2 separate regions of the Mus musculus genome follow, and region 1 is reported to be linked to region 2. Evidence: microRNA targets listed by miRTarBase, many of them from high-throughput screens and not tested one by one. Region 2 holds a microRNA gene; the other region holds the end of a gene's coding sequence.
Evidence for each region. The annotated mature microRNA mmu-miR-3470a reads UCACUUUGUAGACCAGGCUGG and lies in region 2 at 3,167-3,187, opposite strand. An mRNA with a match to its seed (bases 2 to 7 or 8) in the 3' UTR can be bound and repressed. Matches are read on the target gene's strand: a 7mer-m8 pairs with bases 2 to 8, a 7mer-A1 pairs with bases 2 to 7 and ends in A, and an 8mer does both.

Region 1 (5,069 bases), not on the chromosome of region 2:
CAGGGCTACCACTGTGGCTGGGTTATGAGTTATGACAGGCTTAGGCGTTTCTCAGACAGGTTTGGTACCTGTAGATTAGGGACTCTCAAGGTATATTTCACTATACAACTGCTATTCTGGGCTCCATTGGATTCGCCACTTGTGCCTGTGTGCCTAATCATCACCGAGCACGTATCGTTGCCTAGAGAATGTTGATGTTTTCATAGGAGATTTTCATCTGTTAGATCTCAGTCATTAAAAGAAGCTAGGCCTGGGAGAGGCTCTGGGTGCCCAAGAAAGTGTCCCAGCACCTTGCAATGCAGTCTGCTCTCTCTTCCATCCCAGCCATTGGTTTCTTCCTCTTGTTTTCCAGGGAGATTCTGGGAACCCCCTTGTCTGCGAATCTGACAACACGTGGACCCAGGTGGGGATCATGAGCTGGGGCATCAACTGCAATGGAGTCCCTGTCCTCTCAGTTTACACAGACATCGCTGAGTACAATGAGTGGGTCAGCTATGTCTTAAGTCAGGCTTCCCGTATGGATCCCATGGGAGTCTTGGTCCTATACCTGTCTCTGGTGTTTCCCTTGGCCCTCCTGGTAGCTCTGTGACCTCCTTAGGCCCTGTCTTCCTGAGAGTTTTGAGTCTCCCACTGTGCCTTTTCTCCATTTTCCCTTTCTGTCTTTCTGCCCTTTCTTCAAATTCCAGTTAGCAGCTATTGCCACAGTAGACTGTGGCAGGGAGATTGGGGGCTGCAAAGTGCTCTGACTGGTGTTCTGGTTACTTGCCTCATGATACACCCACACTTGGTGGACTAACCTGGACTAGAGGGCCAGCTTGCCTGCTAGGTGGAGAACCATGACTCCATGATCTTGGGGACATCTGCCAAGAAGAGATAATATCACCTGGCTCTGTTTACATCACACAGCTTAGTGACCACTGAAAGAGAGGGAGAACAACCGGGTGTGGTGGCACACACCTGTAATCCCAGCTCTCGGGAGGCAGAGGCAGGCGGATTTCTGAGTTTGAGGCCAGTCTAAAAATCTAAAAAGTGAGCTCCAGGACAGCCAGGGCTACACAGAGAAACCCTATCTCAAAAAAGAAAAAAAAAAAAAAAAAAGAAAAGAAAAAGAGAGAAAAGAGAGAGAGATGGAGAACGAGAGGGTTGGAGGAAGGGAACACTGGCAACTCCCTACAGAGGTATGAGGTTGGCACTTAAGTATTTGGGAGCTGGCAGAAATTATCTTGTACCCACTTGGGAATCTGCCAGGGAATGCATAGCCTCTGCCTCATAGGCTTCACAAGAAGGCAGTCCTGCCTGGCCCCCTTCCTCAGTACCTCAGTGGTCACATCCAGGGTCATCCCAAGTTGCGTTGAGGTTCTGGAGAGGGGAGATCTCAAACGTAAACTGAATAAATGTTTGGAGAACGTCCTGTGTGTTGTGAAGCTCTGCTCACCTGGGGTGTTTGGCTTAGAGAACTGGACCCCATTTACCTAGGGAAGTACTCGCAGTTCCTCTTAGAGACAGAAGAGCTGAGTCCTGCTCCCTGTGTGCCTGGGCAGGAACTTTTGCTGGGCTTCACTACTTTTACAGCCAGCCAGGAGCAGCTCAGGGGAGGCAGGAACTGGGGTGGGGGTGGGGGCGGGAGGGCCCGCAGGGATGAAACTGATTCATGAGAAAAAGTCTTTCTTCTGGTTATTAATGTGACTTTATTTTCAAAGGCCGTGTTCCCAAAGTCAGGAGGATTTTAAGAAAGATTCACTACACTGTATGCAGCTCTTCTACCTCACACTGGGTTTTGGTATCCCTGACTGAATACTGATTTGCTCACAGGTCTCCTCCAATCTCCCTCTCCCACTTTCGTCTTTCTGGGGTCTCTGTTTCATCCTCTGTCCTCTATGGCTTTTGTGGGCATTCAGTTCCAACCGTTGCCCAAGGAAGGATGAACCCATCCTCCACCCCCAGTTTTGTTTGTTTGTTTGTTTGTTTTTTGAGATGGGATATCATTATGGGGTCCCTGGCTGTCCTGGAATTAGTGCTGGGATTAAAGGTGTGTGCCTCCACACCCTGCTGTCAGACGCATCTCTGTCATGAACACATACATCACCAAAGATGTTTTTAAAAAAATTATCACTGGACATTGACCTGCTGAGGTAGTGTTTGCCTGTATCTCCATCATCTGAAAGATGGAGGCGAGGACAATCAGTTGTTCCTTTGCTACAGATGGAGTTTGAGGCTAACCTGGGATACAGGAAGTGCTGTGTCAAAACAACAACAAAAACCCAAACCACCTCCACTCTCCAGAAACCGCCAGCTCTTCGTAGACTAACAATTTTAATTTTGCTCACTGTAGCGCGTTATTCTATGTGGACAGGTAGCTCTCCCCCATTTTATAGTCCCACTCTTAGCCTCATGGTCCACCCTTCACCTGTGTGAGCATACGCTGAGAGTTTGTTAAAATCCACATTGCTGCCAGGAGTGATGGGACACATTTGTAATCCTAGCACTTGGGAGGCAGGGGTGGGAGGATTAGCACAAGTTCAAAGCCAGCCAAGACTACACAGAAATGGACCTTGTCTTACGGTTTTATTGCTGTGAAGAGACACTATGACCAAGGCAACTCTTACAAAGGAAAACATTTAATTGGGGCTGGCTTACAGCGTCAGAGGTTTAGTCTGTTACCACCAAGGCGGGAAGCATGGCAGTGGGCAGGCAGGCATGGTGCTATAGGAACGGTGAGTTCTACATCTTGATCCACAGGCAGCTGAAAGAGACTCTAGTTGGCAGGCAGCCAGGAGGATGCTCTGATTCCACCCTGGGCGGAGCTTGAGCACAGGAGACCTCAAAGCCCGCCCACACAGTGATGCATTTCCTCCAACAAGGCCACACCTCCTAAGTGCCACTCTCCATGGTCAAACATTGAAACACCTGAATCTATGGGGGTGAGGGGGGAGGCAAATCTATTCAAACCACCATAGACCCTGTCATAAAAAATTAAACAAACAAACAAACAAACAAACAAATCCATATCATTGGTCTCACTAAGGGAGTTTTCAACTTCAACTCTGGAAGTCTTGGCCAGGGCCTGAGGATGAAGATTTCTAGCAAGTTCCCAGGCGTTGCTGGTCCAGCTGTATGGAGGAGGCCTAACGTTGGGAACCACACAGCGGCAGAAGGCAACCTTCTCTTGCTTGCCTCGATATGCGATTGGCACCGTTTACTTATTCAGATTCATTTAAACGCCAGGCTGGGGGCCTGGAGAGTTGGCTCAGGGATTAAGATCTTCTACAGGGCCCACATTTGATTCACACAAACCCACATGGTGGCTTCTAACTCCAACTCTATTGGATCTGATGCCGCCTTCTGGCTTCTGTGGGCATCAGGCACATACTGTGGTGCACAGACAGTCATACAGATAAAATACTCATACACATAAAAATAAAATGTAAACGAACAGGCTGGGTGATGGGGTCCCCAGAGCTCTGTTGGACACCTGGAATAAACAAAGGAAACAGAGGAATTTTGATGATCGCTTCCCAGTCTCTGCTAGGCTCAGTAAATCCACAAAGATCATCCTTTTGTGACAAGCTCTCTTTATGCCCAAAGCCAGGCAACAAAACAAAACAAAAAGAAACAAACAAAACCAACAACAACAACAAAAACTAGCCAGTATTTGTCAGTGGTAACATCCTGTCATATTGCTGGTCCTTGGAAGAGGACAGCTGCCTTCTTTATTCAGCACCCTGCTCCTATCTTGATTTAGTCTTAGATCCAGTTCAGCTATTACGTTCTCAAAACCGTTTTTCCTAACCATATTGTTATTTGCTTTCTTGGGCTTTCCCGGTCCTTGTTAATAGTGACCGTGAAACTCCTTGTGCAACAGGCTGAGAACAAGGTATACCCTGAGGCTGGATGGGCATCAAGATGCCAATCCCAGCCCAGGGATCTTTGACCAGTTAGGCTCCAGATGCACCGCCAGGATCTTAGAGCACTAGGGGTGCTGTCATAGATCTGGAATCTAAGACCCAGTCCCAGTCAAGGGATCTGAAGTCATATTAAGGACGAGAGTGGGTCCAGATGCCAGAACTCAAAGGACCTGAAGAGGCACGGTCAGGCTCTTGGCGCCAGGTCAGTCATGTGTCGAAGACGCCATCGCGTACTGGGATGTGGGCACGTGACAGCACGCCGCAGCTATCTCTGCTGCCCTTAGGGACAATATTCATGTATGGCTACGTCATTGCGCGGCCTGGACGCTGGGCCTGGATCCTTGAGGCGCTGGATCCTAATCTGCTTTGCGGCGCTACTGTTGCTGCCTCCGCGGCCAAACTTAGGTCAGGCAGGCACCTCCTTCTCCATTGTCCTTTCTTTCTGTGTCCTCTCCCCTCCAGTCTTGCTCAGGTTGGCTATTCCTTTCCTTTCCGCCACCTGAAACTTCTGTGTGCCATCCCCACCTCGCTGTCGCCTCTCTTCTGCCACTCCTAGGTTCCTCAGGCCACTGCTGTGTCGTGCTGTAGCCTCCTGGAGACAACAGGCTCGGAGATGCTCGGAGCATCCCTGGCCTCCCTTCACGCACAGGCGCCTCCCGCTTTCCGTGTGTCCATCCTCTCAAAAGGATGATGTTCTAAACGTTGGGTTTTTTTTTCCCCCATCGCTAGCAGAGTCCAAGCCCTTGAGTGCTGTCTTCGCAGACTCCTCTGCCCCACAGCCCCCAGACATCCCTCCAAATCTGACTGCCAAAGGGAGAGTGTTTCCTGAGTGGGGTGGGGCTGGAGCAGGGTCCGACCCATACTGAGAGGCGGGGCTTACATCGGTCCTGCTCCACCACCATCCCAATATGTGCCCTCCCTCTCAGGGCCAGCCTTCCCCAAGAGTCATTAGCACTTTATTTATTTCCCATGTAATCCTCAGCCCATTCCTGCTGTGTTCTTCCCATTACTGTTCCTGGTTTTGTTTGTTTGTTTTACATCTCTATCCTTTTTTTTTTTTTTTTTTTTTTTTTAATTTCCTGTGGCTTCTCCCTCAGCCTCTCCCCCATTTTTCTTCTTTCATTCGTGGGGGTTGGGGTTAAGGTCTCATGAGCCCTAGGGTAG
Region 2 (5,072 bases):
CCCAGCCCCAGCCCCAGCCCCAGTCACTTCTTGAGCCCTGTAGAAGATCCTTTGCAGCACTATTGGGCACAGGAACCGCCTTCCGCCTGCCTTCCTTCCCTTTGGGCTCCCGGAAAGAGAGCTGGTGTTAAGGACTTTATTTGGCCAGATGGGTCACCCGACCTCAATTTGGCCTCTAACTTACTACCACGCACAGCCTGGAGCTCCAAACGGCGTCAGAGACCTTCTCCAAACGGTCTTGACTCTCGTACCAGATCTCTGGTCAGTCCCACTCACCCTCTACCCGCTGGAGTAATCTCATCTCTCTGTCGTCAGCATTCCCACAGGCCTGCTGCACTTCGAATCCGGGTTCTGACCCGGTGTATAGGGATCGTGATGCTGGCCCACCCCGCTCCCTCTACCTGCTTAAGCCCCGCGACCCTAAGTTTTTCCATCCAGACCTCAGCCTCCTCCAAAGCCGAGACTGACATTTCCGTCTCATCCTGGCAGGCAGAGCCGCCCCGGAGGCGCCGCCGGGGCCTGGCGCTGGTGTCCGGAGACGCCGCAAGTCTCGGACAGCGTTCACTGCACAGCAGGTGCTGGAGCTGGAGCGGCGATTCGTCTTCCAGAAGTACTTGGCACCGTCAGAGCGCGACGGACTTGCTGCGCGACTGGGCCTGGCTAATGCGCAAGTGGTCACTTGGTTCCAGAACCGTCGCGCCAAGCTCAAGCGGGATGTGGAGGAGATGCGCGCGGACGTGGCCTCCCTATGCGGGTTGTCCCCTGGAGTCCTGTGTTACCCAGCACTGCCAGACAGCACTTCAAGCCCTGACCCTGGCCCTTCAGGGCCCGATTCTGAGCCCAACTTATCAGATGAGGAGATACAGGTGGACGATTGAAAGTGAAGCTGCTGCCCAGCCCTGGATTTTAGGGCCCTGGACCCCCTGCTAGAGGCCTTGTCTGGGTTCCCGGGTGGAGGGTAAACACCCATTTAGCTCTGTTCTGTCTCTTACTCCACACTCCTACTTTTCTTACTCGTTAAAGAATAAAGCCGCCACTCTGCTGCTGCAAGAAGCCTCAATTCGGAAAGCCCGCAACCCAAACCAAGGCAAGCCGCTACTCACTGGGAAATTCCTTGCGGCTCCTTTAAAACTTCTTTTAGCCCAAGTAGCAAGCCTAAAAGGTATGTGTCTGGCTATGGTTATTTTTCAAAAGAGGCTTGAGGTCAGGATTTGTACACAGGCATTGGCCACTCCTCAGAGACCTGGCTTGTCTTTCACCTCTGGAGACACTGGATGGAGAGGAAGTGGGTAGGATTCTAGTGGTGGCTTCCGGCCACTACCCCCTACTGGCTACCTTTGTTCCCAAGGCTTGCAGCCTTGGAGACCTCAGTACTAACCTTTAGGTTGGCCCCTATATGATAATGTGAGCCTTCTACTCTTAATTAAACTTTTACTAGGTTTCCTGCATTAAGAAAGCCATAGTAAGCTTAGTGTAGGTGCACACCTGTGATCCCAGCACTTAGAAGGTGGGGTGGGGGGCAGGAGAATCAAGAGTTCTAAGTCAGCCTATATCACAGCGCACTCGCGCTTACGCGCGCCCCCCACCCCCACACACCACACTAAACAAACAAACAAAACCTCTATGATGAGACACTGTGACACCCCAGAGTCTGGAAAGAGAGCACTATCCACTTCTACCTCTGCCCAGGTATGGGAACCTGGGGTGAGACTGAAGAGAGGAGGTCAAAGTAGCTGTGACTGTCACAAGAGCATCCTAACCTGGCCCCACTGATGACATCTCGGACCTTCAGCTTTGACCTCCCTTTTTGCTGGCCATTAATCACTATCCTCCTGCAAAGGCACTGACTGGGGAGGGACAGGGAGCACTGAGGGGCCAGAGGCCCACCCTGTCAGTTTTTAAGAGACCACCATGCAGCTAGAACCTCGGACAGCGAGTGGAGGGCCAAGGAGAGGAAACTCAGGGGAGAATAAGTGAGACTGAAAGGCGGGCGTGATTCTGGTGTCTTCACACAAGATCTGAGTGCTTTGTGTGAATTGATCAGTGGGACAGACCAACTGAATGGACTTTTAGTCTGGTGTCAAGACACTGCCCTTGTAGGTGGGAAAACACGGCTTCACCTTTTCTCACACACGCTTTTGTTTGCTTGCTTTGTTGCTTTTTTTTTTTTTTTGGAGTCAGGGTTTCTCTGTGTAACTTTGGCTGTCACACAACTCACTTTGTAGACCAGGGTGACTGGGAACTCAGAGATCTTCCTACCTCTACCTCCTGATAGGACTAAAGGTGTGGGCCAACATGCCCAGCACACTTTTATTCTTAGATTGGTTTATTTTCATTTTATGTATATGAGTGTTTTGAATATATATATATATATATATACATATACATATATATATATATATATAGAGAGAGAGAGAGAGAGAGAGAGAGTGCTTGGTTGCTTGGTACCTACATTTCCAGAAGAGGGTGTTGGATCACTTGGAACTGGTTTTTTGAGACAGGGTTTCTCTGTATAGTCCTGGCTGTCCTGGAACTCACTCTGTAGACCAGGCCGGTCTTTAACTCAGAAATCCGCCTGCCTCTGCCTCCCATGTACTGGGATTAAAGGCGTGTGCCACCACCGCCCGGCTGAGACAGCATCTTTTACTGAACCTATAGGTCACTGCTTCAATGGGCTGGCTGACCAGTGAGTCCCAGGATTCCAAATTTCTGCCTCTCCAGCAATAGGATGGCACTGCATTGAGCCAGGCTTCATATGCAGGTCCTTAGATGACTAACTGACTCCCTATCTCCTTAGCTGGTATTTTGATTTCATGGACAGCAGTGCCATTTCATAACGTAAAAAGGTTGTCCATGGAGCTGGAGATTTAGCTAAATGGACAGGGTTTAGTCCCCAGAACAGGGTAAGAAAACAAGCTGGACATAGCCGAAGGCTAAAATACCCCACAGTGAAAGGAGGCACTCTTGAGAGACCAGGAGGAGTTCTAGCAGGGCCCCTGAAGCACGCAGCTTGACCTTCCAACCACCACAAACCAAGAATGCTGGATGAACAGTTCTTAAGGAGTTACTAATGGAAGAATAATCCCTGAGCTACTGGGTGTGGTTACCATGCCTTTAATCCCAGCACTCAGGAGGCAGAGGCAGGCTGATCTCTGTGAATTTAAGGCCAGCCTGGTCTACAAAGTGAGTCCAGGACAGCCAGGGCTCTATTACACAAAGAAACCCTGTCTCAATAAAACCATAAACAAATAAATGCCCTCAAACTAAACTGCCACCTCTCCCCAGCCCATGCCCCCAACAGCTTCAGGACAAATCATTTTAGCTGAGGCAACGGAGTCTTGTTAGCTGGTACTGAGCCATCAACATCAACAGTGTTCCTTACTTTCTTGTCCAGCTGGTACCACCTCCCCTTACACTCCAGCCTTGGATAACAAACCAGCAACCAGAAGGAAGGTGTGATGGTGTGAGCCTGTCATCTGATTAATTAGGAATCTAAGAAAAATTATGAGTTCAAGGCCAGGCTGAACTATATATAACACATGCTGGATAAGGCTCAAGTTGTACCCTTTAGCTTGATGGATGCTCACCCTCCCTCATCCCAGCCCCTTCCCTGTCTGTTCTAGATACAACCCTCAGTTCTATATTACTCTGTTCCCAGCAACGGAGGAGAGGGGAGGGAGGCGGGGGAGAGAGCTAATTGTGACGTCCATCTCTGAGAGAGATGGTAGCCAGGGTATCAGCAGTGCAAGTGTGACCCTGTCTCAAAATACAAACTAAAACCAAGCCAAATAAATGGGCCTTGGCATGTAGCCCTGTTGGCAGAGAGCTTGGGTAAGTCAGACGTGGTGGTAGAGGCTTGACACTCAGGACTTACCATGTAGAAGCAGGAAAATCATAGTTTCTAGGTCTTCTTTGATTACATAGTGAGTTTAAACTATTCCAGGCTAAAGGAGACTTTGTCTCAAAACAAATAAACACACTAAGGTGGGCTCTGGATGGATGTCCACTCTGGTGACCCTAGAAAAAATGTGCAGTGTAGACCAGGAAGACAGTTCTGTGGGTAAGAGCAGCCTGTGTGAAAGCAACAGGATCTGAGTTCAAATCCCCAGCACTCATGTTAAGTTGAGTACGGCTGCACGCATCTGAAGCCCCAACTTCATGGGCTGAGGTAAGCAGATCCTGGAAGCTCACCGCTGAGCCACCCTAGCCAAGATGGCAAGATCTAGGGTCAATGTGAGACCCTGTCTCAAAAATAATAATAATAATAATAATAATAATAATAATAATAATAATAATAACATGATGAACTGGGCAGGGTGGTGCACACCTTTAATCCCAGCTCTTGGGAGGCAGAGGCAGACGGATCTTTTTGAGTGTGAGACCAATCTGATCTACATAGAGAGTTCCAGGCTAACCAGGGTACATAATAAGATCTTAGAAGGAGGAGGAAGAGGATGAGAAAGAAGAGAAAATGGGGGGAAAGGGAAGGGAGGGAGGGGGAAAGGGAGGAAGGAAGGGAAAGAAAAGAAAAGATGAGAAAAGGAAAGGAAAAGGAAAAGGAAAAGAAAAGAGGAAAGAAAGGAAAGGCAAGGCAAGGCAAGGCAGTGCGCTGGGCAGGCCTTTGAGCACAGCTCTTGGGGGCCAGAGATAAGTGGATCTCTGTTTGAGGCCAATCTGGTTTACACATCAAATTCCTTATAACCTTAAAAAAGTGTGAAGCATTGAAGAAAGAGGTATGTACTCTTTTGGCTCCCATAAGTGTGTATATGAGTGCAAACACATCCTTCTCACATGTGTATTACACACACACACACACACACACACACACACACACACACACACACAAGTGCTCGTACCTGCACACATGCACAGGGATTACCTGAAGTCTTACTGAACACAAATTGTTGGGAACTCAGTGTTCTTTAGCTGATTAAAATTTCTGCCCTGATGCCCAAGTGTTTGCATCCATCAGTTTCCGGGTGATGTTGATGATATGGTCTCCACACTTGGAGATCCACAGTCCCAGGAATTCTGGACTTCATTAATTAAAAAGCAATGCGCTCACACTTCCC

Region 1: the mRNA of Prss43 is a reported target of mmu-miR-3470a. Seed matches in the 3' UTR shown: 7mer-m8 at 734-740 and 7mer-A1 at 1,027-1,033.

What each region holds. Positions count from the first base shown.
Region 1 is chr9:110,830,430-110,835,498 of GRCm38, forward strand. It overlaps Prss43 (protease, serine 43), which reads left to right. Exons shown (of 6, transcript NM_199471.1): 6 at 353-1,078. The coding sequence ends at 589. Prss45 (protease, serine 45) reads left to right here and starts at 4,159. Exons shown (of 6, transcript NM_153172.1): 1 at 4,159-4,310. The coding sequence starts at 4,205.
Region 2 is chr6:83,087,194-83,092,265 of GRCm38, forward strand. It overlaps Mir3470a (microRNA 3470a), which reads right to left and starts at 3,194; the gene lies at 3,118-3,194. Lbx2 (ladybird homeobox 2) reads left to right here. Exons shown (of 2, transcript NM_010692.4): 2 at 490-1,050. The coding sequence ends at 878.